Linked DNA regions of Yarrowia lipolytica. The protein of the gene in region 1 purifies or fractionates together with the protein of each later gene. This does not show direct contact. Links are inferred from orthologs where the notes say so. Each region holds a gene or a part of one and is shown in the gene's direction. Other genes may lie near its edges. The genes, in order: YALI1_B01698g, YALI1_A12302g, YALI1_B13137g and YALI1_D11722g.

Region 1 (6,630 bases):
ACTTTAGAAATCGATACAGACAAGCTAGAGACACGGGGACTTCGAAATTGCCTCATTCCGGAGTCTACATTTCCAATTCCGCTTCAATCAGCTCTCGAAATGCTGAAAATGAAAAAATGTGGCTGTTCCGGATGATATACCGTAAAGTCTATGCGCCAAAGTGCGCCTTACGGACCCCTTAGCCCTGTCACGGGACTATGATACTACAATAAGACAGCTTTATAAGCATCTAACCGTAAGACCCACTTTCAACATTCATAGAGCAGACCTCCTCGATCTTGGTGTACTTCCATATTTTCAATTTAGTAGCCCTGGGTTAAGGAAATACATTGTGGAGATCGGTCGGGCTCCAGCTGTCGAATGGCACCACTCATTAGTCTGTAGCAGATATACTTTCAATGCCTGGCTGGGTATTACCACGTAACCATCATCAAAATATCATTTTTATGCTTGTCTCATCTCATGGCAAAATGATGCAATAAGTTATCTCGATATACCGTACACGTATAAAGAGGCTGTCGGGGTCTCGTGAGACTGGGTGACGCGGGTCCCAGGTTCTGTTTAGGGCACGATCGTCTCAGAGTTTCAAAACTGCGGAATGTGTGAAGCGTCTCTGCACCAACTCTTTCTTATACTTGTGGGGCTCTCCGCTTCAGGGGACTCGTTTGATGTTGTGTATATGAGTGGCCGAATGATTGGGTAGGGTGGTGGGCGGTAGAGAAGAGACCTTGACAGAGACCTTGACAGAGACCTTGACAGAGACCTTGACAGAGACCTTGACAAGAGACCTTGACAGAGACCTTGAGCGGGGGAAAAAAACCGTTAGAAAAACGAGGAGAAGAGGCCTTGAGCGTGGAACAAACGTGAAGGAAAACGTTGGGAAATGGAGAAATGGGTAACCACCAGTATCCTGAGTCGAGTGTCTATCTGTCAACAGTCGGATAAGACCCAAGCGGTTGTTGTGTTTCGTCCACATCCCACCATCTATTCCTCATAACCAGGAGGAGCCTCGTACTGTGGCAAATCCGGCTCGATGCCGTCTCGCGCCACCGAAACCTGTCTCTGGACTCTCTCCCTGAACGCTGTGTGTTTCTCCGCCAGAACCTTTTGGAACTCAATGGCACCACCCTCGCGAAAGTACAGATCGGCTCGCCACGTGGTTCCGTCCCGTCTCAGCCCGGGAACCAGATGCAGGCCTCTCTCGGCCTTGGGAATCGCCACAAACGAAATGTCCACCGAGTTGGGGCCAAACCACGGCTGAGTCAGCTGCACCTTGAGAATGTTGGTCATGGGAATTTCCAGCGAGGCGAAATTGACACAGTCCAGCTTGAACGCGACCACGTGAGGCAGCTGGGGCGCGTTGTCCGAGTCCGACTGCACAATGACCCGAGTGGCGTCAATCAGAACTGTCACTCCAGTCGCCTCGTATCGCACCGGAGATCGGCCCTCATCATAGGGCTTGGAGGTTTCGGTGAGTACCAGTTGCACGCTTTTGGCGCAGAGCTGCATGCCCGACGTTGATGTTGAGTTGGTGCTGTTGAGTGACATGTGGGTTGTGAGAAGTGTTGCTGGTACCGTTCTGTTGTGGTACAGTTCTGGAGATGCTGTCAAGTCCGGTGATGCGAGTCTAAGTTCAGGTGCGGTGTTTCTGCCATGATAGTGGGGATTCCTTTGGGGGTCATTTGGGGGTCGTTTGGGGAGTTGGCGTGGTCAGAAGGAGGATGTGGACGGTTGTTGTGAGACTTACAGAATCGATATCTAGAGGTTTCCTTTTTTCCAGATTTTATTTGATTAAATATAATTTAGAATAATCTAATCGTTTGAATTTATCAGAAACTTACATTTCAGGAAATTCAGTAAAAATAGCAATTTCAGAAGAAGAGAATAAATTCAGAAAAATGACAAGAAAAATGAAAACTTCAGAACATTTCCTTGCAAATTATAGAGACGTGTACAAATATATATTGTGCGCTATTCAACGGCCATATAATGAACCTCGCTCTACCCAAACCACCCAAATAGCTTGAATTTCTCCGAAATTTCGAATTTACTCAAAAAAAAAAAAAAAAAAAAAAAAAAAAAAAAAAAAAACCAACCTCAATTACTCAATTACTCAATAACTCCTCGATAACTCTTCCAAAACAATAAAAATAGTCGGAAAAAAACGCCAGTTGATTCGCCACATCGCACAGACTCCTCCACTCTCAGTACAGTCGCCCTTCTCCTCTTTTCTGGGCCGCCTGGAAGACATTGCCATCGATCCGATAAGCTTATTTTGACCAGAAAAATGGAGAGTTTGGGTGGTGAATTAGAAAGGCAAAAAGGTGGATCTATGGAGATGATTGAGACTGTTAGATGGGGAATAAATTGGGGGAATATTATAATATGGATTTTTCAATAACAAAAACTATACCATTTATATTTCTCCTATTTTTCTTTCATTTTTTTCCATTTTTTCCGACAAAATTTACACACAGCCCATGGGAGTTTAGTTAGGCTAATATAGTGCCTGCCTTACAAAAAAAAACTCGGTCTCAATCTGTAGTGTTGTTTTCCAGCGCCAAAAAAATCAACATACAATGACTAATTCAGACCAATCTCGATCACATGACTCCTCATCCCGATATTACGGGTATTCATACTCGTACCCGTACTCATTTTATAGTCATTGCCACCTCACGTGACCATAATAACCTCTGCATATCCCAAAACGTTAACCTTAAAAGTTTTATGCAGCTGCGTCAGCTCCCAAAAAAAAAATCCTCCACTTTCTACACACGCAACACACTCTACTGTTTTCAACTTTCAACGAGGAAAAATGCAACTAACGTGGAAAGATATTCCGACGATTCCGAACCAGAGCGAGTTTCTGGACATTGTGCTGAACCGGACGCAGCGAAAGACGCCCACGGTAATTCGAGCCGGGTTCAAAATCTCGCGAATCCGGGCGTTTTACATGCGAAAAGTGCGATTCACAGCGGACGGATTTGTGGAGAAGCTCAACGAGATTGTCACGTCGTTCCCCAACATTAACGAAATCCACCCGTTCCATCGAGACCTGCTCGATACCCTGTACGAGAAGAACCACTACAAGGTGTCTCTGGCATCCCTGTCCCGAGCCAAGTCGCTCATCGATCAGGTGTCACGTGATTACGTGCGTCTGCTCAAGTTTGGTCAGTCTCTTTTCCAGTGCAAGCAGCTCAAGCGGGCTGCTCTTGGTCGTATGGCCACCATTATGAAGCGGCTTAAGGACCCTCTTGTCTATCTTGAGCAAGTTCGGCAGCATCTTGGTCGATTGCCCTCCATCGATCCCAACACTCGAACCCTGCTCATCTGTGGCTATCCCAATGTTGGCAAGTCTTCGTTCCTCAAGTCTGTGACTCGAGCCGAGGTCGAGGTCCAGCCCTATGCGTTTACCACCAAGTCTCTGTATGTCGGCCATTTCGACTACAAGTATCTGCGGTTCCAGGCGATTGACACTCCCGGTATTCTGGACCGTCCCACCGAGGAGATGAACAACATTGAAATGCAGTCCATCTACGCCATTGCCCACATTCGGTCGTGTGTGCTGTATTTCATGGACGTTTCCGAGCAGTGTGGCTTTTCTGTGGCCGAGCAGGTCAAGCTGTTCCATTCCATCAAGCCGCTGTTTGCCAACAAGCAGGTGATTGTGGTCATCAACAAGATTGACGTCAAGCGACCGGAGGATCTGGATGAGGAGAACCAGGAGCTTCTCAAGGGCATTGCTGCCCAGCCCGACGTGGAGATTATGCAGCTGTCGTGCCATGCCGAGGAGGGTCTTATGGAGGTGCGAAACCGGGCGTGCGAGAAGCTGTTGGCGGCTCGAGTGGAGCAGAAGCTGCGTCATGTCAAGGGTGGCGCCTCTTCGGATCTGCTCAACCAGGTCCATATTGCCCAGCCCGTCAAGCGAGACGACATTGAGCGGCCCTCGGCTGTGCCTGAGGCGGTCCAGTTCCTGCAAAAGTACGACAAGAACGACCCCAACAGACGAAAGCTGATGCGGGACATTCAGGACGAAAATGGAGGCGCTGGAGTCTTTTCCATTGACATGTCCAAGGATTATCTGCTGGAGGACGAGGCCTGGAAGAAGGACATTATGCCCGAGCTGCTCAACGGCCGAAATGTCTACGATTTCATCGACCCCGATATCGCCTCGAAGCTCCAGGCGCTGGAGGACGAGGAGGAGAAACTCGAGCAGGAGGGCTTCTACGACTCGGAGGAGGAAATTGAGGACGACGAGGCCGAGGATATCCACGAGCAGGCCCAGTGGCTGCGAAACAAGATCAAAATGATGCGAAACACGGCCCGGTCCAAGAAGTCACTCAAAAACAAGGCCGCCATCCCCAGAACAAAGACCAAAAAGTCGCTGGGAGACATGGAGGAGCATCTGGAGCGAGTGGGCTTCGATTCGTCTAAGGTGGTGGACCGAGCCAACGCCCTGGCCGAAGCCAAGGCCTCCGACGACGTGTCTGGCCACCAGACCTTCCTCAACGAGGCCGTCTCCACCCAGGAAATGTCCCTCATGCCCCTGGGCCAGTCCAACCGACGAGACGATGGTATTGTCACCACCGTGCGATCCAAGGCCGACCGAATGGCCAAGCACTCCCAGCGAAAGGGTAACATGAAGGCCCGACGAGGAGAGGCCGATCGACATATTGCCGAGACCAAGCCCAAGCATTTGTTTTCCGGAAAGAGAACTGTTGGATCGAATGATTGGAGATAGACAAAGTTTGAGGACGTAGTCCGAAACCGAGTCGGATTCAAGACATGGACGGTATTGATTACGGTATTGATTTGGTCGGCTCAGTGTCTCCAACCAACCTGGTTGGGTACTCACTTGGTCGTCACCTGGATTAGATAGATGGATCACGGAAAAGTTTTATATTAATAGATTGAGCATTGATTGAATAGGCGAGTTGAGTGACGAGAGTCGGTCTGGTCAGCTGTAACGATTGTAGCTCTGACATTGTAGCATTGTAGCGATGACAGTTCGCGGATCACGTGATGTGGTCGCCGAGTCACGTGACGCGGTCGTCAAGTCACCAGTTCGGATCGTATCATACATACAAGCCAGTACAGTCAAAAAAATCATGTGGAACTAGAACGGATACTCTTTCGGACATTCATGCCGATGGAACCCCTAAGCTCACTGAGTCATTCTGGAGACAATACCGGAGACCTCGTCAAGTTGTAGGCACTTGCCCAAGAAGCAGATTGCTGCTGAAGGTTGTAACAGTTCCAGTTGACATTGAACGGGGGAAGTGGATCTGGTTTCTCACGGAGGTCTGGTACTTTCAGCTGAGAAAGTGACGGAAACTCCAATGTTTGGATCACGTGCTCTCAAACCAGCAGAGACTGGACTCTCCCGGCTGTTCAACGCCTTATCATTACATGTACTAATGTCTGAGTGCTCCATGACCAGCTTTCTGAGAACACCAGCGTTTCTGAATGTCTCGAAAGATCTGGACCCAACTCCAAACAGCGCTGACAACGTCTCCAAAAGTTCTATACTGGCTATGAAGAACTGGTCACGTGACCAAGTCAAAGTCGTTACCCTTTGTTGTTCCAGATACGGCTCCCAAAACCCCCTTCCAGTCTCCCAAAATTCCCTGCCCTTCCTTCCTTCCTCCCTTTCTCAGTCACATGATTGGAGTATCCACACGTGATTAGATCATCTGCACGTGATTAGAGCATCTGCAAGTGATTATAGTCGCTTGACCACATTGCGTGACCGCTTCTCTTCTCAAGCTTGCCATGTCTTCCGGTGTGAGCACACTTCTATCTGTCCTATTTTCTAATTGTACCCAATTTTGTCAGAATTAGTACCAAATTAATCATCGAAACGACACGGTTTTAGTAAACTACTTTTTATCCCTCCAGTGCTGGTATTACAAAAGTTGGAGACACAAACGCTCGTCGGCCAGATTAAAGTGGAATGTCCGTGAAAATTCTGAAAATTGTACTGAAGCCTGAATGGGGTGTCAGAAGGGTTCCAAACGGTTCCAAGGTGTTCCAAAGTGTTCCAAAGCCTTTTTTTCAGGCGATTATTGTGGTTTTATTCTGCTTTTATGTCTTTCGGGGTCGTTTATTAAATCCCAATGTTCATATACATTGTCTGTTTAGGTGCCATATACAGAAGCCTTTCTTCTGCACAAGACTGCTCATTTGTGACGGTTACATAATCAGAACATTAGTAAAAATTATATCGTTGAAGAGCTCTTGTTCAGGTGAACACAATTGTTTTGTTGTTAACCGTCGATAGGTTTATTATTGGCTGGGTTGTGCACTTCTTTTCAGGGGACGGACCGTATGTAGCTCTGGAAGAATGAAGTCACCTCCAAGTCAATGAATCTCATGCAGACAGAACCAAAGTATCATAGTGTCGTCACGTGAGACGCGGAAGTTGGACACGTGACCAACTACTCGATCTTGTGCTCCGGTCACGTGAAAACTGAACACGTGGACAACTATGCCAGTCATATGACAACATGCACACACCCTCCACTACTCGTACAGAACCAGAATAAATTATTGTATTTCATTAGACCGATGCAGACCGTTGTTAGACGACATACGGTGGAGGTCCCGTGGCATATCGAAGCAGTGTAG
Region 2 (5,375 bases), on another chromosome or scaffold:
CCTCAACTTTCGGACTGTCGTATCCGAGGGACAAGGACAAGTCCGGTGCGAGCTGAAAGTCGACCAAGACTTCGCTTAGCGTCTGGAGATAATTATCATTGACACAAACCTGGACCTCGCATCCAACAAACATTGTGAGAACTGCGGGTGAAGTTCTTGCTTCTAGGTAAGTTACTCTTTTCACAACATTTCTTCGAAATCACAGCTGCCAGCAATTCCAGCTTTAACTGTCTGCAAAATGACCAAAGCTATACGATCAAGCGCCATGTCTGCCTTCTCTCCTGCTTGATCTTGTCTTTCTGCGACTACAGTACAACTACTACACACTCTTGTCGTACTCGGCAGACTCTCGTTGAAGAGTAACAGCACCTTAGAGCTTCCCCCTCTCTACAGATGCTCGCACTAGAACAGTGAGAGGTCAAAAGTTGATGAACCATTAGACCTGCTTCAACGGAGATTGACAAGAAGACGAAAGGATTTAGAACACTTGTCCATGACTGAATCTCCAACACCCTATACTCTACAATTAGGGAGAGATAACTCATCCTGAAGAGATGTCCGACCAAATATGGATACGGTCCTAGGAACATGTCTCAGGATCAGTATAATGGACGAAGGAGAATGGGCTTGAAGAAGGCGAACTGGTCAAGTCGGAACTTGCACTGTGTACTTGGTGGCAGAGACTTAGTTGGGGGTAGAGCTTGGTTACTTGTTGGTGGAGATTGGGTACGGTACAGTAGGTACTTGGTAGTAGAACTTGGGTGCTTGTTGGTAGACTGGATACTTGGTTGAACTAAAGCACCAAGAGTGCCAAAAGAGTGCTGAAACGCGAACGCCATACCGCACCTCGGCACCAACCCACCACCTACAGTTCACGGATAAAAATACACATACATCATTATGGATACATCAATTGGCAGGTCCCGGCATCTACTGCAGGTAAAGATGTCGCTTGGCAGCCATCTCAACGGCAGCAGCTCCCCAGTCCTCTCCGTGGTTGTGTCCATCAGGAGTGAGACCAGCTCGCTGAAGAGCCTGCTCCTCGGTCAGACAGGTGAGCACGCCGAAAATGACGGGGGTCTTGGTGGCGATCTGGGATTGCATGAGGCCCTGGGAAACGGCGTCGGCAATGTACTCAAAGTGCATGGTGGAGCCCTTGATGAGCACGCCGATGGAGATGACAGCGTCGTACTTGTGCGAGTCTGCCATCAGGTGGGTGATGTAGGGCAGCTCGTACGAGCCGGGCACAGACTCGATGAAAATGTTCTCTCGCTTGACCTTGAAGCCGCACAGAGAAGAGATGGTTCCGTCGAGCAGAGCCTTGATCACCTGCTCGTTCCATCGCGCGTGCACAATGGCGATCTTGAAGTCGGAGCCGTCGTAAATGGCGTCAGAAGCGCCAACACCCTTAATAGTACAGTCGGTCATTTTCAGTTGGTACAAAGTGCTGTGTGTGAGTGTGTGTTTTGGGGGTGGTGATGATGATACAGGGAGATCTGGGCCAACCCAATTGTAACCGCGTCTGCTGCATGACTGACAAATACCCGGGAGTTTGATTAGTCATCCAAAACGGCCCCGAAAACGGCCATTTTTCCGCCCAACCCTGTGTTTGGGCTCCAATGGCCAATAAACGAGTCGGATTTTTCGGTCTTTCCTCTCTCACACGCTCAGAACCACGATTATCGCTATCGACTGTTTTTTTCAGCTCCCATTTTTGTCTCAGGGTTAGGTTCGAGACATTCGTTTAGCCTCGGTCCTATGATCATCAGACTCAATTACAGTAATCTCAGAGATAAGAAAGAGCAACTGAGAGCGTGCTAGCTGTTGTCGCGCGCCGCTCAGGCTCCAAATGGCTGAGTAAGCCATCTCAGCCGTTTTCTCGGACCATTCCACCCGGCCTTACCCGCGAAACTTCATGCTCCAACATGGAACACTCTTGGCAGATTGTCCCGGCCTCCACCAAACACGACAAATGTACGCCCAGCCTCGCCGGACATTGTCATGAAACTCAATCCAACAATGCCATAGTTCGGTATCTTCCCGTGGCCTTCTTTCTGTGGCGATGGCTGACTGGCGGCAGCAAGTCGGAGACGAGACCTGCGCATACGATACCGTACAGCATGCACCAGACTCTGTACGGTGCAATACCGGCTCTGTACGGTGCAATACCGGCTCTGTACGGTGCAATACGGCTTTGTATGTACGGTTTTGAAGAGACTGAAACAGCGCCGGTTCAGGGACTCTGGGTACAATGAGACATGTTGCAGTGTTTGGGGTTTGAAACGAGTTGCGACATAGTACGAGTACAAGTACAAGTGCACATTTGCTCCAAGTTCTTGTACAAGTACAAACTTGTAGGACGTGAATGTCGATCTAACTGCGGGAAACGTATCGTGGCAACGGCTCAGCTTGTATAGTGTATGATACCTGGATGTACCGGTACAACTATGTACTGACCAGACTGTTCATCTTCACCACAGCAAAATGAGATTGCACACATCCTTCAGAATGAAACAATCAGTTGACATCTCTGGCATTCACATTCAAAAGCGCATATATGGACACCAGCTCGGAGTCAGGTCACGTGACCAGCAACCTTGTAGAGCCGTTCTGTTATTATACAAAAAAATTAAAAAATTAAAAATTAAAAAAATTAAAAAAAATGCGAGGTGAAATATTCGGGGGAAATAAAGTTTTTGTCAGGTGAAATTCAGAAAAACGAATCAACTGAGCTCACCGGTTCGTACGTCGGTTGAGAGTGTTGCTAACGACTCTGGAAGTCACAGATGACTGTTTTTCGAAGTGATCATCATATCATCGTATCAACTTTGGCACATGTTGGATCCGTTCGGGGAACCTCATCTGGCAACCTTATTTTCAATATATCTCCGTTATCAATGGGGAGTAGAGATATTGTAAATCTAACAACATTTTGGTATTTGCCAGGAGGTTAGGATTATTTTGATACCAATTTTGGACCAAATCGTCAGACCGTTGTATATCCAGCGCCATTTCTACCGTAATGTCGTATGTAAAACACGTCCCTAACCCCCGACGTTGAATTACCTTGAAAAACCTGACCCAACAGGCTGATTTGCATATCTACTACAGTAGCTGGACGCCACCAGCTCCGTGGTCCTGCTGACTAATCAAAAAGCCAAAACCCACATCAACCTTATCAAAATATTTTTTTCAGGCTGCAGGAAAATCTCGACTATTACGCACAAGATACACAACAACAACCATGAGCGAAATCAAGACAGTGACCGTGGAGAAGCCCGTGCCCGTGACGTACGATCTGGGCAACCTTGCAGTATTCGACACAAATCCCGTGGAGGTGGATCTAAACGACCTGAACGTGGACGGCCAGGCCCGAGAGGAGGCTCTCCAAGCCGTGTCTCGAGATAATGCCCAGCTGCTCATCAACCAGCTTCTGTCACAACCCATCAAGAACACCACGGACTCTAATTCGTCCAGCGGCAACCAGAACTCCACCATGTCTCTGATCATGCTGCCACAGCCGTCCACACGTCTCCCTCGAGAGAAGCCCATTCCCAAGCCCAAGGCCATGACCAAGTGGCAAGAGTTTGCTCTCAAGAAGGGCATCAAGTCCAAGGCCCGGGATGGCAAGCTTGTGTACGACGAGGCCACCGGCAAGTGGGTGCCCAAGTGGGGTTTCAACGGAAAGAACAAGGAGCTCGACCAGCAGTGGTGTGTTGAGGTGGACGATGGTAAGGGATCCAAGAAGAACCAGGAGGACGTTATGCTCGATCCTCGAGCTCTGGACCGAGCTTCTCGAAAGAAGCTGGTCAAGAAGAACCAGAAGCAGCATGAGCGAAACCTCAAGCGGGGCGTTTCGAAATAGGTGGAAAAATAGACTAATTATATTTTGATCATTAAGCGGGTAGGCGATAGCAGTTGTTTGGTGGATGTAACGTACTTGTACAAGTTCAATGCGGTAGTTATGACTGATCTAGCGGTGTATGTTGTCGTAGTTCAACCTCTGTGACTGAGGTTAGTTCTATCGAGTGTAGTTGACTGGGACTGACGACTGGAGATGTTGCTAATGCTTGAACGTTGACTGCGAGTGCGAGTACAGTACGGATACTTTGCACAATAGATGTATAGCCCACTCGAGTCGATTGTAGCAGTCATCTGTCTCGTAAACTGCTGGAGACCATCCAAACATGCATCTCTCAATCCAGAAGTAACAGAATAGCACGAACACGAACAGTACGAACAGTACCGATACTGGAAATCGTGTTTGTTGGTAACGTCTGGGATTGACACTCCGATCAAACGCCGTTATCCGGTAGTTCAAATCACTTGGTCGGCGTTCTGTGCAAAACTGCTTGTGCTGTACAACATACTTATCATCTGATAGTTCCACACAGTGGAAGGGGTGAATGTGGATTCTGACAAGACCATTCACATGATTGTTTTTCCATAGAATAGTTATCTTTCATCTCCGAAGACATGTCCCATGGAGAATGGTAGGCAGAGTTCTGGGTGAGAGAGAAAGACATCCAGATCTACCGTAATTCTTTAAATGTTGAGATCATTTTAATTAATAGGTTTTACTCTGGAAATAAATCTTTATCCTGTCAATTTTCAGCCCTTTTCTTCGTTTTTTCTCCGAATTTCCTCACTTTTCCCATTTATTCCAATTTCCCAACCTGATCATATATTTTTTCCAATCTCCACCAATTTTTTGATCCAATTTTTAGTCCACAATGACCCAATAATGGCCTAACAATGGCCTAAAAAGGACCCCCGACCCAATAATGACCCAATAATGACCCTAAAAATGACCCTAAAAATGACCTATAAAAATGACCTAAAAATGACCCAATAATCTAACTGTACCTCCCAATAGTGGATGTACTGTAAAGCAGTGCACAAGCGACAACAAAACACCTAATGACCACACAAAACAGGCTAGAATCGCGACTAGAGGACCGTTTTCCGTCAAATTTCGAGCACAGAACCAACCGAGTATTTCCAACGCCACCAAAAACCAACATGTCCTAAAATATTACGAAAAACAATGGCGGAAATCATTGCTGATACCCAGACGAACCCCGCATATTTTTTTATTTTTTTTCTGCAATATACTTCATATTAAATTATAACTTTGCTGTTGAAAGGAATAAACCTTTGAAATGAATGTAACGCTTACACGAATATTACTAATTAAACACGTTTTAGTGTCATGGTTCCAACTTGGCCACGTAACTATTTCCAGTAAAAAAATCATAAAAAAACCTGTCGTTCAGTTCCGTGTTTGTATGTTGGTCCACATAGCTTCGCGTGTTTGTTCGTTCATCGGGAAAACGCCACTCCAGTCTCCAGTTCTCTAATCTCAATCCTTCCAT
Region 3 (5,114 bases), about 1.1 Mb from region 1:
TTTCTTGAACAGACTGGAGTATCATTTGACTGTGGAGGAGTAGGAGAGACAATGTCGAGCATAAGATGATACAGCACATAGAGTGTGCTATACAGTATAACGAAGGATATATATAGGTAGGGTAAACATGTGAATGGTGGTGAAGAGCATTTGCTAAGGGGTGCTCTTATTGTAGCGTTCCTTGATGGTATGACTGTAACTCAGTAATTCAGGTCAACTACATATGTACAGTATGTATGTAGTATTGTTCTTACATGATACATTCGTAGTAAGGGTATTCGTTTTCAATTTTACAGAGCATTCCCTTAGCTCGTGCTACAAGTGCGTTGGGTAAGGATGATTTGCTACGCCTCATGATCTTCGCTCCCCTCGTGCTCTTCGGTTAATCAGTTACTATATACACAACAAGATTATTGCTTCTTCTTGTTCTTCAACTTCTGCTTATGCTTCTGTTGCCAGGTCAACTTTGTCTGGGGCTCTTCAAGCGCCTTCTTTTTGTCCTCCTTTCGCTTCTCCTTAATGTCCTCCACAAGCCCGACGGTGTTAGCCTTGAGGGTGTTGAAGTCGCGCTCAAAGCCGCGCTTGTACTCGTTGATATAGAAGGACTTGCCCTCCTTGAGCTTTCGCTCGGCCTTGGCGGCGTCCTGGATTCGCCAGTGCTGTTTGATCTTGTCGTCCTCAGACAGACCCTTTTCGGCCTCCTTGATGGATTTCTTTCCAAACAGTACATCCCATACTCGTCCGTCGCCCCAGAACCAGCCGGATCGATCGACCACCCAGGGAACCCAACTCTTGCCTTCCCAGATGAAGAAGAAGAAGGATGACTTGGAGGCGGTACCGTAGAAACCGTCCTTGGTGAAAATGGTTGTCCTCTCTCCACATCGCAGCTGGTTGAGGTTCACTGTGTAGACGGGAGAGGGTCTACCAGGAAGATAGGGGTGGGTCACAAACCGAATGTGATCCACGCCCTGCATGTGCTCGGGAACACCCTTCATGTAGGTGCCAGGAAGGTAGTACAGACGTCGGATCAGTCTGCCAGGGAAACGAGCAAGAACGTAGGACATGAAGAGGAAAATGGAGGTAAAGGCAATGGGCACAGCAGATCTCAGTCCAAACTTGAACATCTGGTGCACAAATGGCTCGTCGGTGGGGTTCATCTTCCAGTCCATGTAGGCAGCACTCAGCAGGTTCTCTCCAAACATGATTCCGTACAAAGCCAGCACAAACGAGCCACAGAAACAAATGACAAAGTAGAGACGGTGGGGCTCGGCTTCGTACAGCAACTCGGGCTCCTTTTTGTTTTTCAGGATCAGCATCATTTCAGTGAAAGAGAGCCGAGGGCCGACCACAGGAGTGTCGGGTTTGGGAATGATGGTCGGCTGGGCCTCCTTACCGAGAGGGAAAGATGGGATTCGAGATCGCAACGAGTTGCTTCGAGGGTCAATAGGATCGATATCTCGGGGCAGATCAGAGTCGGTCTTTTTGCCTCGAACAGCCATAAGAACAGGGACAGCTGGAGCTCGAGAAATGGGCCGATTCACAAGCATCGAAAGCGGTCGCAGATGCTGCTGAACCAGCGACTTGCCGGGCGAGGCCAAGAGACCCCGCCTCGCCGTGTTCAAAACGAGAAGCATGGTGGTTGTGATTTTGAGTAATAGCAGGCAGATATTTCTGGCGGTAGGAGGTGCATGTTGGTTTAGGGTTAGGGTATGGGGATATTTGACTGGTAAAAAAGTACTCCGCAACGGAGAATTGAACTCCGGTCCCCCGCGTGCTGGTGTAAACCTGACAGGCGGAAATTCTAGCCACTAAACTATTGCGGAAGATGGAGTAAAAAGTCGTTAAAATAATATGTTGCAAAAGATGTAAAAAAAGAGAAATTTGGCTGGTTTTAGGGGTTTTAGTGATAGTAAAACCCTTTTTGTCTATTAATTATTCAGAATCCGAAATATTCAGGCTTTTAAATCCAAATATGAGGGTGTTATGATGTCTATAAGTTTCCAGTGAAAACTCCATATACAGTAGATAGAAGTATGACTCGAGATAAAGGACTACTAGAAGATATATAAATGTACAGGAACATTTAATTATGTGAATAAAGCATATAAATGAACTACATGTTCAATAAAAATCATGTCTGAGCTGTGGAGGATCAAAATTCTAAACAACTAGCGCAAGTGAACGAGGTAAGACACATAAATGAGGTAATGGAGGCCTAAAAACTTCAATGAATAACGATTTGAGGTTTACCCAATTGGTTTGTTGACTATTCAATGACGATTCGTCTCATTATGCTCTTAAAAGGTCCCTTTCTTGTATCCACTGTTTGACCATAGGGATGTATACTCTTCAGCAGCAGAATCTTCTGTGTGTTGATGATGAGATCACGAGAGTGTATTTATCAGTTCAGAAACATCACACAAGCACAAGTACAAGTACCTCGTTTACAATTTAAAGACTCTTGTTCATAGCAAGTATTAGTACAAGTAGACAAGATGCCTCTGATTCATTCTTTTGAGCAAGTCAAATATGTGAAGTACGGGTCATCAGGAGTGCTCAATTCTAGCCGCAATGCGTTTTTAAGAGCCATTGACACCTCTCTAAATCTGCTCTCTATTTGTAGACTCCATAAGACGCTTTTCGATCAACTCGTTCGTTCCAAGCCGCCTTGTTCTTAGTAAGCGGTGAGCTTATAGCGGGACTGCATTTATTTGGATTTATTTGGATTAAATGAGATAAAATCCGATAAAATCCGATAAAAATCGACAAAATAGGCAAAACGGAAATTGACTGAGATTTATCACGTGGATATTTCAATGAGCATGTCACACTCATTGTACCTCTCATATACAACACATTATCCCTGTTCGCTTACTCTCGCCACAGACTTTGGACGTGCAGAATTTTCAAACTCAAATAAATATTTTTGACATAGAGTGCATGCGGAAGATTTCGTTCATCATCATACACAACCTCACAACCGCACAACCACAAAATGCGAGTGTACAACTGTCATTTCTGCTCGTCGCCAGTGTATCCCGGTAAGGGAATCATGTTCGTGCGTAACGACTCCAAGGAGTTTCGTTTCTGCCGATCCAAGTGCCACAAGAACTTCAAGATGAAGCGAAACCCCCGAAAGCTGCGATGGACCAAGGCGTTCCGAAAGGCTGCTGGCAAGGAGATGGTGGTGGATTCCACCCTGGCCTTCTCTGCCCGACGAGACGTGCCCGTGCGATACAACCGAGACCTCGTGGAGAAGACTCTGGAGGCCATGGAGAAGGTGGAGGAGATCCGGCTCAAGCGAGAGCGGGCCTTCTACAAGAACCGAATGCGGGGCAACAAGGCCGCCCAGCTGGAGGAGGACCGAAAACTGGTCGAGGCTCACCCCGAGCTGCTGCGAGAGCGAGAGGTGGAGCTCCGACGAATGCAGGAGGCCGGCGAGGACGACGACGACGAAGACATGTCCGAGATGGAGGTGTCCGAGGAGGAGGAGTCCGAGGAGGAGCGGGAGAAGGTCGAGATTGCGCTCAAGTCCAAGAGCAAGCGAAAGATGCGAGCTTGAAGAAAACGCACCAGAGAATATTAAGTTATTGCATGGGGATGTTGGCAAGCCGATGTGTCTTGTTATTATGACTAATAGATTATTTACCGAACGAACATCGGGTTTGAAGAACGACATGTGGTTCTATTGAGAGCGCACTTGTGAATCGACCTGAGAGGAGAGCGTGCAAACGCGGTACTAGTGTGCATTGAGCGAAGACCGAGTGTGTCTTCGTGAACTCACTGTTCCCTGCGGACGACTACCGTAGAACACAGCATGAACGAAGGGAAAATACTCCTTTTTGAAGCAAACATCGGAGCGTTTTATGTACTTGTAGTTTACAGTACATGTAGTCTTGTATAATGGTTAGGGAGACTTTGATGCTACTAATCGTGAGATGAGAGGATAGTAGAGGTGGTTCTGTTCACTGTCTATGTGTCTTTGGAGTCGATCAAGTCTTTATACCCCAATTGCCGTTTCTTCTGGGTCTCGGGACTCAAGAAAACCGGACTTACATCTCAACATCTCAACATTCATTATAGAGCCACAATAATAGGTTGCGCGTACCCATCTTGTCTTGGGCTATCATTCGATACCATTTTTACTCTTTTTCAAGTCTCATCATGCCATGATAGAAACCCCCCTTCTCTTCTACAGTACAGTACATACTGTAGTTTATGATACTTGTTAAGGTTGCAGTATATCTACATCATAGCTGTTCAATCTTGCTCAGTTTTCTTTCGATTTGAATATACTCACCTTCAACATGGTTGCGATTCCTGGAATATCCCCCCGTTGAAATTCCATCTTCCTCCCTCCTCTGCATGCCATTCTACCACCTCCCTCATCTTTTCAACATCGAACCTAATCCTCCACTCTTCTTCACCCCATGTCACAGACAACATCAGTGACCCGGCTGGCTCGTCTGGTGGCCGGGAAAACGACGGGCGACAGACGCGACATTTTCCGCGACTCGGTGCGCGTTTTCGGCGTTGTTCAGTCGCATGAATTCGACACTCTACGGCTCAAGGAGGTGCCAGAGCTGCACGCGTTGATGAAGGCCCAAAAGCTGCGCCAGGGCATCGAAGACAAACGTCCCGAGGCAGTGGTGACCCTGAGCATGGCTAAGAGCGGTCTGCACGAACATCTCATGGAAGGAACCATGATCATGGTGTACATTGTGATCCCTAGACACATGGTGGTGGACAATGAAGAGGACTACGGATTGCCACCCTCGTATGTCAACATTGATGTCGTGGCGGTGAACGTGCTGAGCCAAATGGGAATCTCGCCGCAGCAGGCAGATGTCATGCTCAAACTGGTTAGACAGGAGGCCCTCAGATTGGGACAGGAAAGTTGAGGGTCCCGATTTCCGGGTCTCACAACTCAACCTACGTGCGCGGTCAAATTGTCCATATTTTTCATGAACACGGGTTGTCTTAGCTAATTGAGCTATGTTCGAGACTCCGCAACTGCTACAGTGACCTAAAGTGACTGTGTCTTGTCCTCTCCATTCACTGAGCGACTCGAGCTACTGGGTGATCACGTCGCTCGGACAACTGACTGTGACTGC
Region 4 (7,043 bases), on another chromosome or scaffold:
CTGCTCATAGATATGTAGAGGCGACCTATATTTATGTAGCGCTGTAATTGCACAAGTAATATACCGGTACTTGAACAGGTAGATACTGTGCTCACACGTCTTGCTTTATCCGATTGAACTTGACCCAGACATGGCCATTCAAGGTCTGATACAGGAAGGAGAATTGTCGATTGTATGTCCGGTGATTGAACTGAATGCTCAGGAAAGACAAAACATGCGATTATATTAGTACACACAGTACCCGCATTAGTACCGGTAGAATTACTTGTTTTACTTATAAAAAAGCCATTTACGACAGTAATTAGACTGGATTTCTTCTAAAATATCGTCATTATGTTTACACCTACTGACACTCTCGTATTTGACTGACTATCTTTCAACTTCTATATCTCCGGTCTACTTACCCACCAAACAGTCTGGTAGCGTAATAAACCACTACAACACACAGAAACTGTACAAAGCCTTCTCTGAATCCCACGGGACATGCTTCAGGAACGCTTCATACTCCGTCCAGGGGTATCGTGTCTTTGGGCATCATCTGGCCCAACACCAACAACGTCAATTGAGCTTCCTGAAACGACTCATCGAAGATCTGAATCCTAGAAACGTTTTAGATACTCAATTGAAGCGAGAGAGTTCGATTATGCCGGGCTCTCATTGAGCGACTTTGGCACTTTCAACGGAGTCTTCAAAACCCCAAAGTGCACAACACGTCTCAAACAGCACTTGTTGATACACAGTTGTTAGGTGCCCGAATAAACCCGACGAGAGGAAACACATATCTGAGAATATATACCAATACAGCACAGCAGCAGTACTCTTTCGAGTCAGCCCAAATCTCCTCCATTTCCTCCAGAAACTCAAAATTAATTAACGTTGGATTTATTGACAATTTATTCGTCTCGACTGCGAATTAGCCGTGTAAATTAAAAATCCAGAGTTATGCACCATCATGCACGCTTAAAACTCTAACAAAAGCTTATTTGACTCGATTTTTTTCTGCTAAACTCAATTTACTGACTACCTGAGAAGTACGAGTACGAGTGAGTTGAAATCGATATGCAATGAAAAAGAGGCCATCTTACAGTAACAAACTGACATCGTCCCTGTCTGTGAACGACTTGAGTCGAATTTGAGCCGAATTTGAGCTGAGACCTCTCTCGCCACATCTTGTCTTCATCGTCTTCATCTTCGTCTTCACCTACCGGATAACTTGATCTTCTCCAATAGCTTCTAGTATACCAACAAAATGACATTGTGGAGGAGATGTCGAGGTACTGTTTACAGAGTTGAATAGCCAGTCCTCTCTGGACACGTGATTCCTCCCGACACTTGATTAAACCGGAATGAGCTCCAGAGTCAGTTTGAGACAGCCTTGCCGCGGAGATCTGCCTAGTCGACCTACCGCGTGGAACGGCCTGGATGATCATTGTCGATATACAGTACCGCGGAAAACTGCCTGATTCACTACTGTATGCTCTGTCGGAACTGGTCGTTGATATGGCCAGAAAACAACACTCCGGCCACCCACGGAACCATGCCAGAACGAGCTCGGTATAGGAGGGAAGGATTGGAGACAAGACGTGAATTCTCTCTCTTGTAATTGTTCGTGGGTCTAAGAATGAACATCTAGATGAACGCCTCTCAGCGCGGCTGTTTAAGACACACGCTAGAAAGGAGCCACTGGTAGAGTAAAACTCAAGCTGAGACGCGCTTTGGTTTCATTCTCGTACGAGTACAACCAACAATTGTACAAGTAGTTCTTCCTAGCACTGAGTAATTCTTCCTAGAGCGTCTCCTAGTGTGATTTTCCTTCTGGTTAGAATGTCTTTATAGGTGCTCCAATATGATCCAGTCCTACTCATTCAGGCTCAACTAAAGCTTAAGTAATTTTAGGGTCCCAGTTTCCACAAAAATGGCAATAAAATCATATTTTGTATGGAGAATATGGGAAATAATATAATTATTTTCATCAATATTCAAATTCCATACAATCTGAACCTTTCCCCATCTTTCTACCACCCCTGGAACACCATATTTGCACCCCCAGCCGAGTTTTCCTTAACAAGGTTTAACTAATCACCAGTCTCAGTCAGTGGCAAATACAAAGTCCATACCCGAGGATTATTGTCATGAACAACATTGCAACCAAGTCAGCTTCCAAAATCATCCCCCTCAAATGAATGAAATATACCGGAGGGTAGGATTTCGCCCCTTGTCCCCTTTCCAACTAATCCCAAGTAAATTACTCAACGGCCCGTCTATGCTTTGTGTTACCCTACCGAACCTTGAGGTTAAAAAATCGGACAGGCTGCATGAGCCTTCTAAAATTATTTTTCAGCTAACCATACAACCAGACAACCATGGGTAAAATTCAAAAGAAACACGGAAAAGGTCGATTGGATCACTACTATCGATTGGCCAAGGAGAAGGGCTACCGAGCGCGATCGTCGTTCAAAATCATCCAGATCAACCAGAAGTACGGCAAGTTTTTAGAAAAGTCCAAGGTGGTGATTGATCTGTGTGCTGCTCCTGGCTCGTGGTGTCAGGTGGCGTCGCAGCTCTGTCCCGTTAACTCACTCATCATCGGCTGTGATATTGTTCCCATCAAGCCGCTTCCTAACGTCATCACTTTCCAGTCAGATATCACCACTGACCACTGCCGACAGCAGCTTCGACAATACATGAAAACGTGGAAGGCGGACACAGTCATGCACGATGGTGCGCCCAACGTGGGTATGGCGTGGGCCCAGGATGCCTTCACGCAGTCCGAGCTGGTTCTGCAATCGCTCAAGCTGGCGGTGGAGTTCCTCAACAAGGGCGGAACCTTTGTCACCAAGGTGTTCCGATCCAAAGATTACAACAACCTCATGTGGGTGTTCCAGCAGTTTTTCGAGAAGGTGGAGGCCACCAAACCGCCCTCTTCGCGAAACGTGTCCGCCGAGATTTTCGTCGTCTGTCTTAAGTTCAAGGCTCCCAAGAAAATCGACCCCCGACTGCTGGACGCCAAGTACGTGTTCGAGGAGGTGTCTCAGGGCAACAACAACAACGAGGCCAAGGTGTTCAACCCCGAGGTCAAGCGACGAAAGCGAGAGGGTTACGAGGAGGGCGAGTACCTGCAACACAAGCGTCTGTCCATTCTGGACTTTATCACAGACTCTACTCCCATTGACAATCTGGGAGAGACCAACGAGATGACGTGGACCCCCAGATCCATCAAGGAGGGAGAGGTTGACGAGGAGGAAGAGAAGGAGAAGGATAAGGAGGCTCGAGACGAGCGGGGAAACGTCCAGTATGTGCTTGACGACAAGGTTTACTCGGACGAAGACGCTCTCAAGATGGTGTCCAAGCTGCCCCAGACCACCCCAGAGCTGCTCGAGTGTCTCAAGGATCTCAAGGTGCTAGGCCGAAAGGAGTTCCGGGCCATTCTCAAGTGGCGACTCAGCGCACGTGACCTTCTGCAGATTGACAAGCCCGAGGCCGGAGTGGAGGTTGAGGAGGAGGAGCTGGACGAGGACCAGCTGATTGACAAGGAGCTGTCTGAGCTTGGCGAGCGAGAAAAGGCCCGTAAGAAGCGGGAAAGACGACGCCGAAACGAAATGAAACAGCGAGAAATCCAGCGAATGCAGATGAACATGACCACCCCCACAGAGCTCGGTATCGAGGCTGCCAAAATGGAGTCACTGTTCAACCTGAAACAGGCGGAGCGAACCGGCAAGCTGAGCGAGCTGCAGAAGGGTAAGCGAAGCCATGTGAGCGAGACAGGCGACGAGCACGTGACTCTGGAAGAGGCCGAGCGGGTCGACTACGGCTCCGACGACGAGGCCAACGGTCTGGAGGATGAGCTCGAGTCCATGTACACCGAGTATCTGGAGAACAAGGCTGCTCGAACTGCCAAGAGTGTGGTTCAGCGAAAGAAAGCCAATGTTGAGACCGAGGAGTGGTTTGGTATTTCCGACAAGAAGGATGGTGACGAGTCTGACGGCGAAATGTCTGCTGACGATGTTGACATGGCCACCATTGACGATGGCGAAGACGAGGACGACGGCAAGACTGCCCGAACTCTCAACAACGGCAACATGTTCTTTTCCAACCCGATTTTCGACAATCTGGTGAACGCCGCCGTGGCCAAGACCGAGGCCAAACCCAAGGCTCTGGACCTGCTGGAGCCCGGAGCCAAGGACCTGATTGAGCTGGAGAAGGCCAAGAAGCGCAAGTACGCCAAGAAGAACGGTCTCGAATACTCCGACAGTGAAGACGAGGAGGACGATATCGTCATGGAGACCCAGAAGCAGGACGATTCTGACATTGAGTACGTGCATGGCGAGTCTGACTCCGACGACGAGCCCAACATTGATCTGGTGACCGACCAGGCCATGACCATGGCCCACCAGTTGGCCACCGGCCAGACCAACAAACACAAGCTCCAGGACGATGGCTACAACCGGTACTCGTTCCGAGACCTGGACGGCCTGCCCCAGTGGTTCCAGGACGACGAAAACAAACATAACAAGCTCAACAAGCCCATCACCAAGGAGGCTGTGGAGGCGCTTAAGCAGAAGATGAAGACTCTCAACGCCCGGCCCATCAAGAAGGTGTTGGAGGCCAAGGGCCGAAAGAAGATGCGAGCTCTCCGACGACTGGAGCAGATGAAGAAGAAGTCCGAGCTGATCAACGAAGATGGCGCGCGATCGGAGAAGGAGAAGGCCGATGACATTTCCAAGCTCATGCGAAAGCTCGCCAAGCCCCAGAAGTCCAAGAAGAAGACCGTCACCGTCGTCTACGCCGGAGGAAAGAACAAGGGTATTGCTGGCCGACCTAGAGGAGTCACAGGAAAGTATAAGATGGTTGATGGAACCATGAAGAAGGAGCAGCGTGCTATTCGACGAATTAAGAAGAAGATGGGCAAGAAATAGTCATATGGATAGAATTAATGGATGGTATTGTATTAGAATAGTGAGAGAGTGGATGTGATTGTTGGTGTTCAGTCAGTTGGACTGTATCTTTAGTTGAAATAGTTTTTTGGATCTACTTAGCATGAAAAGTCCACTGGGGGGCTCATTTCTGGTGTTCCTAACTTACTAGAGAAGAAAAGAGTGTGTCCTAGGATCACAGGGTACCTCTACTAAGTAGAATCAATCAACAGTTCTCCTTACTGATCCAGTCTCTTACTGGATGCGATCCACTACTCACCATATCAATCACCACTCACATCCGTAATCATGTATCTATTCATATTTACTACGAGGTGGCTCGCACTAGTTCTGCTCTCCCCCAGCCAGCGCAATGACTCCGCTGTTCTTCTCCACATCCTCGTCGGGCACAAAGAAGGCTCCTCCCAGGTAAATGGCTGGCTCCTCAATGTTGTTATGCTCGTAAGACAGCACACCGACTCCTCCTGCCTCGAGAATCAGAGCCGGGTTGATGGTGATGTCTCCGTTGACCCATCGCAGAGCAAAGACTCGCAGGATGTGGCCGTGTGCGAACACCATGACGTCGCAATGCTCCTTGCCCTCGTCGAGCGCCTTCTTGTGGATCACCCGGATCTCCTTGATGAGCTCGTCCACTCGCTTCTGCACCTGTTGGGGCGACTCTCCGTCCTCGCAGCCGTCGGACCAAATGTTCCACTTGTGGCCGTCCTTGTCGATGCCTCGCGCGGTTCGGTCGGCCCGGATTTCGGCTGACTTTCGGCCCTCGTACTTGCCGTAGTCCCACTCTCGAATGTCTTCGGTCACGGTCTGGGGGATCTTGGCGAGAGCCTCGGGCTCGTCCTCAAAAAAGAGCTTGAGCGTCTGCTGGGCACGAGATCGGGGCGAAACAAAAATGTGCTCCACGTACGCCGGGTTCACCAGCCGGTTTCGGCCCACCAGCGCCCGTCCCGTCGCTCGCACTCGCTTGACTCCGTTCTCAGTCAATGGCAGATCAGTCACCGACGTGTGTTGGCCGGACTTTGACCATTCGGTCTCGCCGTGTCGTACAAAGATAACTCGAGGGGCCATTGTGTGTGTGTGATGTGTGTGTGTGTGTGTGGGTGGTTTGTTGATGTGTACTTGCGTTTGGAGTGGTTGGAGGAAGAGAAAGAGTGGTCTTGGAGCACTCGTAGCAATCTTGGCAAGTTGCAATACCGCTTGCAGACAAACGCAACGGCTATTTAATGTTCGGTGACGTCAGCTGGGTGGGCCCAAACTAAGTGTGGGGTTCGGGAGGGGCAAAAAAAAAAGCCTTGTCGCGGGGTTCAGAAAGAGGAGAATTTTCGATTCCGTGGAAAACCGCGCGAATTCAGACGGCTTTCTAATGATTCAGACCGATTCGCGTTTCTGGAGCGGAAAAAAACCGCAGTGACTAACAAACCTTAATTAGACGAGTCCATGCATAGACGCAACCAAATGCCGTTGCACACTTTTTTAGGCTCGTCCAGTTATTCCGAGGCGGTTGCAAAGAGTCCTAGGTTTCGACCGAAAATTTGGAGCAAATCGGGCTTCTCCAAGGCAAGGCTTGCAGAAGGCACCAAGAACCTTGTCTACGAGTACAGTATAAGCATAATTGATTACATAACCACATTACACATAGCATGCTGTAGATCCGTGTTCACTCAGTCTTAGATCACGCAGTCTTCACAGTCGTGTTTACTCTGTGATTGCTCAGCCCTATCTCTACAATTGCATCTCAATCTGAGGAGCCTTCTCTCCATTGAGCGCAGTCTCGGCCCTGCCCTTCCATGGTGTGGACAAAAGCCGCTGAAGAAACAGGTCCCGGAATTGTGCAGACTCGGGATTCAGGTCCTGCAGCTCCAACTCGCTGTCAATCAAGCTGGGGAACGACAGAAGCCGCTGCATGCCCCACTCCGTCTCGGACAGCGCCAAAAGAAGCGTGTATCGGGCCATAAACGGCAGGTTTGCGATAGTCGAAGAGCTCTCGAGACCCTGAAGGAGCACAAACGTCGGCTGGTAAGACGACAGATGCACATAGACCTCGAGAGTCTCGACCTTGAGAGGCACGGTCCGCACAGCATCCGAATAATGCTCCTTGATGTATTCAGGGTC

The links.
Region 2: the proteins of YALI1_B01698g (region 1) and YALI1_A12302g purify together in Saccharomyces cerevisiae (affinity purification with mass spectrometry, with the first as the bait; 3 studies listed by BioGRID). This does not show direct contact. The link is inferred for Yarrowia lipolytica from reciprocal best matches to the Saccharomyces cerevisiae genes NOG1 and RRS1.
Region 3: the proteins of YALI1_B01698g (region 1) and YALI1_B13137g purify together in Saccharomyces cerevisiae (affinity purification with mass spectrometry; 10 studies listed by BioGRID, with this or other methods). This does not show direct contact. The link is inferred for Yarrowia lipolytica from reciprocal best matches to the Saccharomyces cerevisiae genes NOG1 and RLP24.
Region 4: the proteins of YALI1_B01698g (region 1) and YALI1_D11722g purify together in Saccharomyces cerevisiae (affinity purification with mass spectrometry, with the first as the bait; 3 studies listed by BioGRID). This does not show direct contact. The link is inferred for Yarrowia lipolytica from reciprocal best matches to the Saccharomyces cerevisiae genes NOG1 and SPB1.

The regions. Positions count from the first base shown.
Region 1 is NC_090771.1:166,082-172,711, reverse strand, and holds YALI1_B01698g (uncharacterized protein), read left to right. Parts: upstream 1-2,818; coding exon 2,819-4,744; downstream 4,745-6,630. Other genes in the region: YALI1_B01725g (uncharacterized protein), read left to right, coding at 100-118, 162-424; YALI1_B01719g (uncharacterized protein), read left to right, coding at 599-675, 719-899; YALI1_B01711g (uncharacterized protein), read right to left, coding at 985-1,548. UniProt on the Saccharomyces cerevisiae protein: Involved in the biogenesis of the 60S ribosomal subunit.
Region 2 is NC_090770.1:1,227,026-1,232,400, forward strand, and holds YALI1_A12302g (uncharacterized protein), read left to right. Parts: upstream 1-3,244; coding exon 3,245-3,865; downstream 3,866-5,375. Other genes in the region: YALI1_A12284g (uncharacterized protein), read right to left, coding at 931-1,428; YALI1_A12294g (uncharacterized protein), read right to left, coding at 1,914-2,427, 2,476-2,537. UniProt on the Saccharomyces cerevisiae protein: Required for ribosome biogenesis.
Region 3 is NC_090771.1:1,311,586-1,316,699, reverse strand, and holds YALI1_B13137g (ribosome biogenesis protein RLP24), read left to right. Parts: upstream 1-2,995; coding exon 2,996-3,562; downstream 3,563-5,114. Other genes in the region: YALI1_B13179g (uncharacterized protein), read left to right, coding at 1-43; YALI1_B13150g (uncharacterized protein), read right to left, coding at 411-1,634; YALI1_B13122g (uncharacterized protein), read left to right, coding at 4,431-4,901. UniProt on the Saccharomyces cerevisiae protein: Involved in the biogenesis of the 60S ribosomal subunit. Ensures the docking of NOG1 to pre-60S ribosomal particles. Activates and recruits ATPase AFG2 to cytoplasmic pre-60S ribosomal particles.
Region 4 is NC_090773.1:1,167,580-1,174,622, reverse strand, and holds YALI1_D11722g (uncharacterized protein), read left to right. Parts: upstream 1-2,363; coding exon 2,364-4,916; downstream 4,917-7,043. Other genes in the region: YALI1_D11686g (uncharacterized protein), read right to left, coding at 5,259-5,999; YALI1_D11666g (uncharacterized protein), read right to left, coding at 6,654-7,043. UniProt on the Saccharomyces cerevisiae protein: Required for proper assembly of pre-ribosomal particles during the biogenesis of the 60S ribosomal subunit. Specifically methylates the guanosine in position 2922 of the 25S rRNA at the stage of 27S pre-rRNA maturation.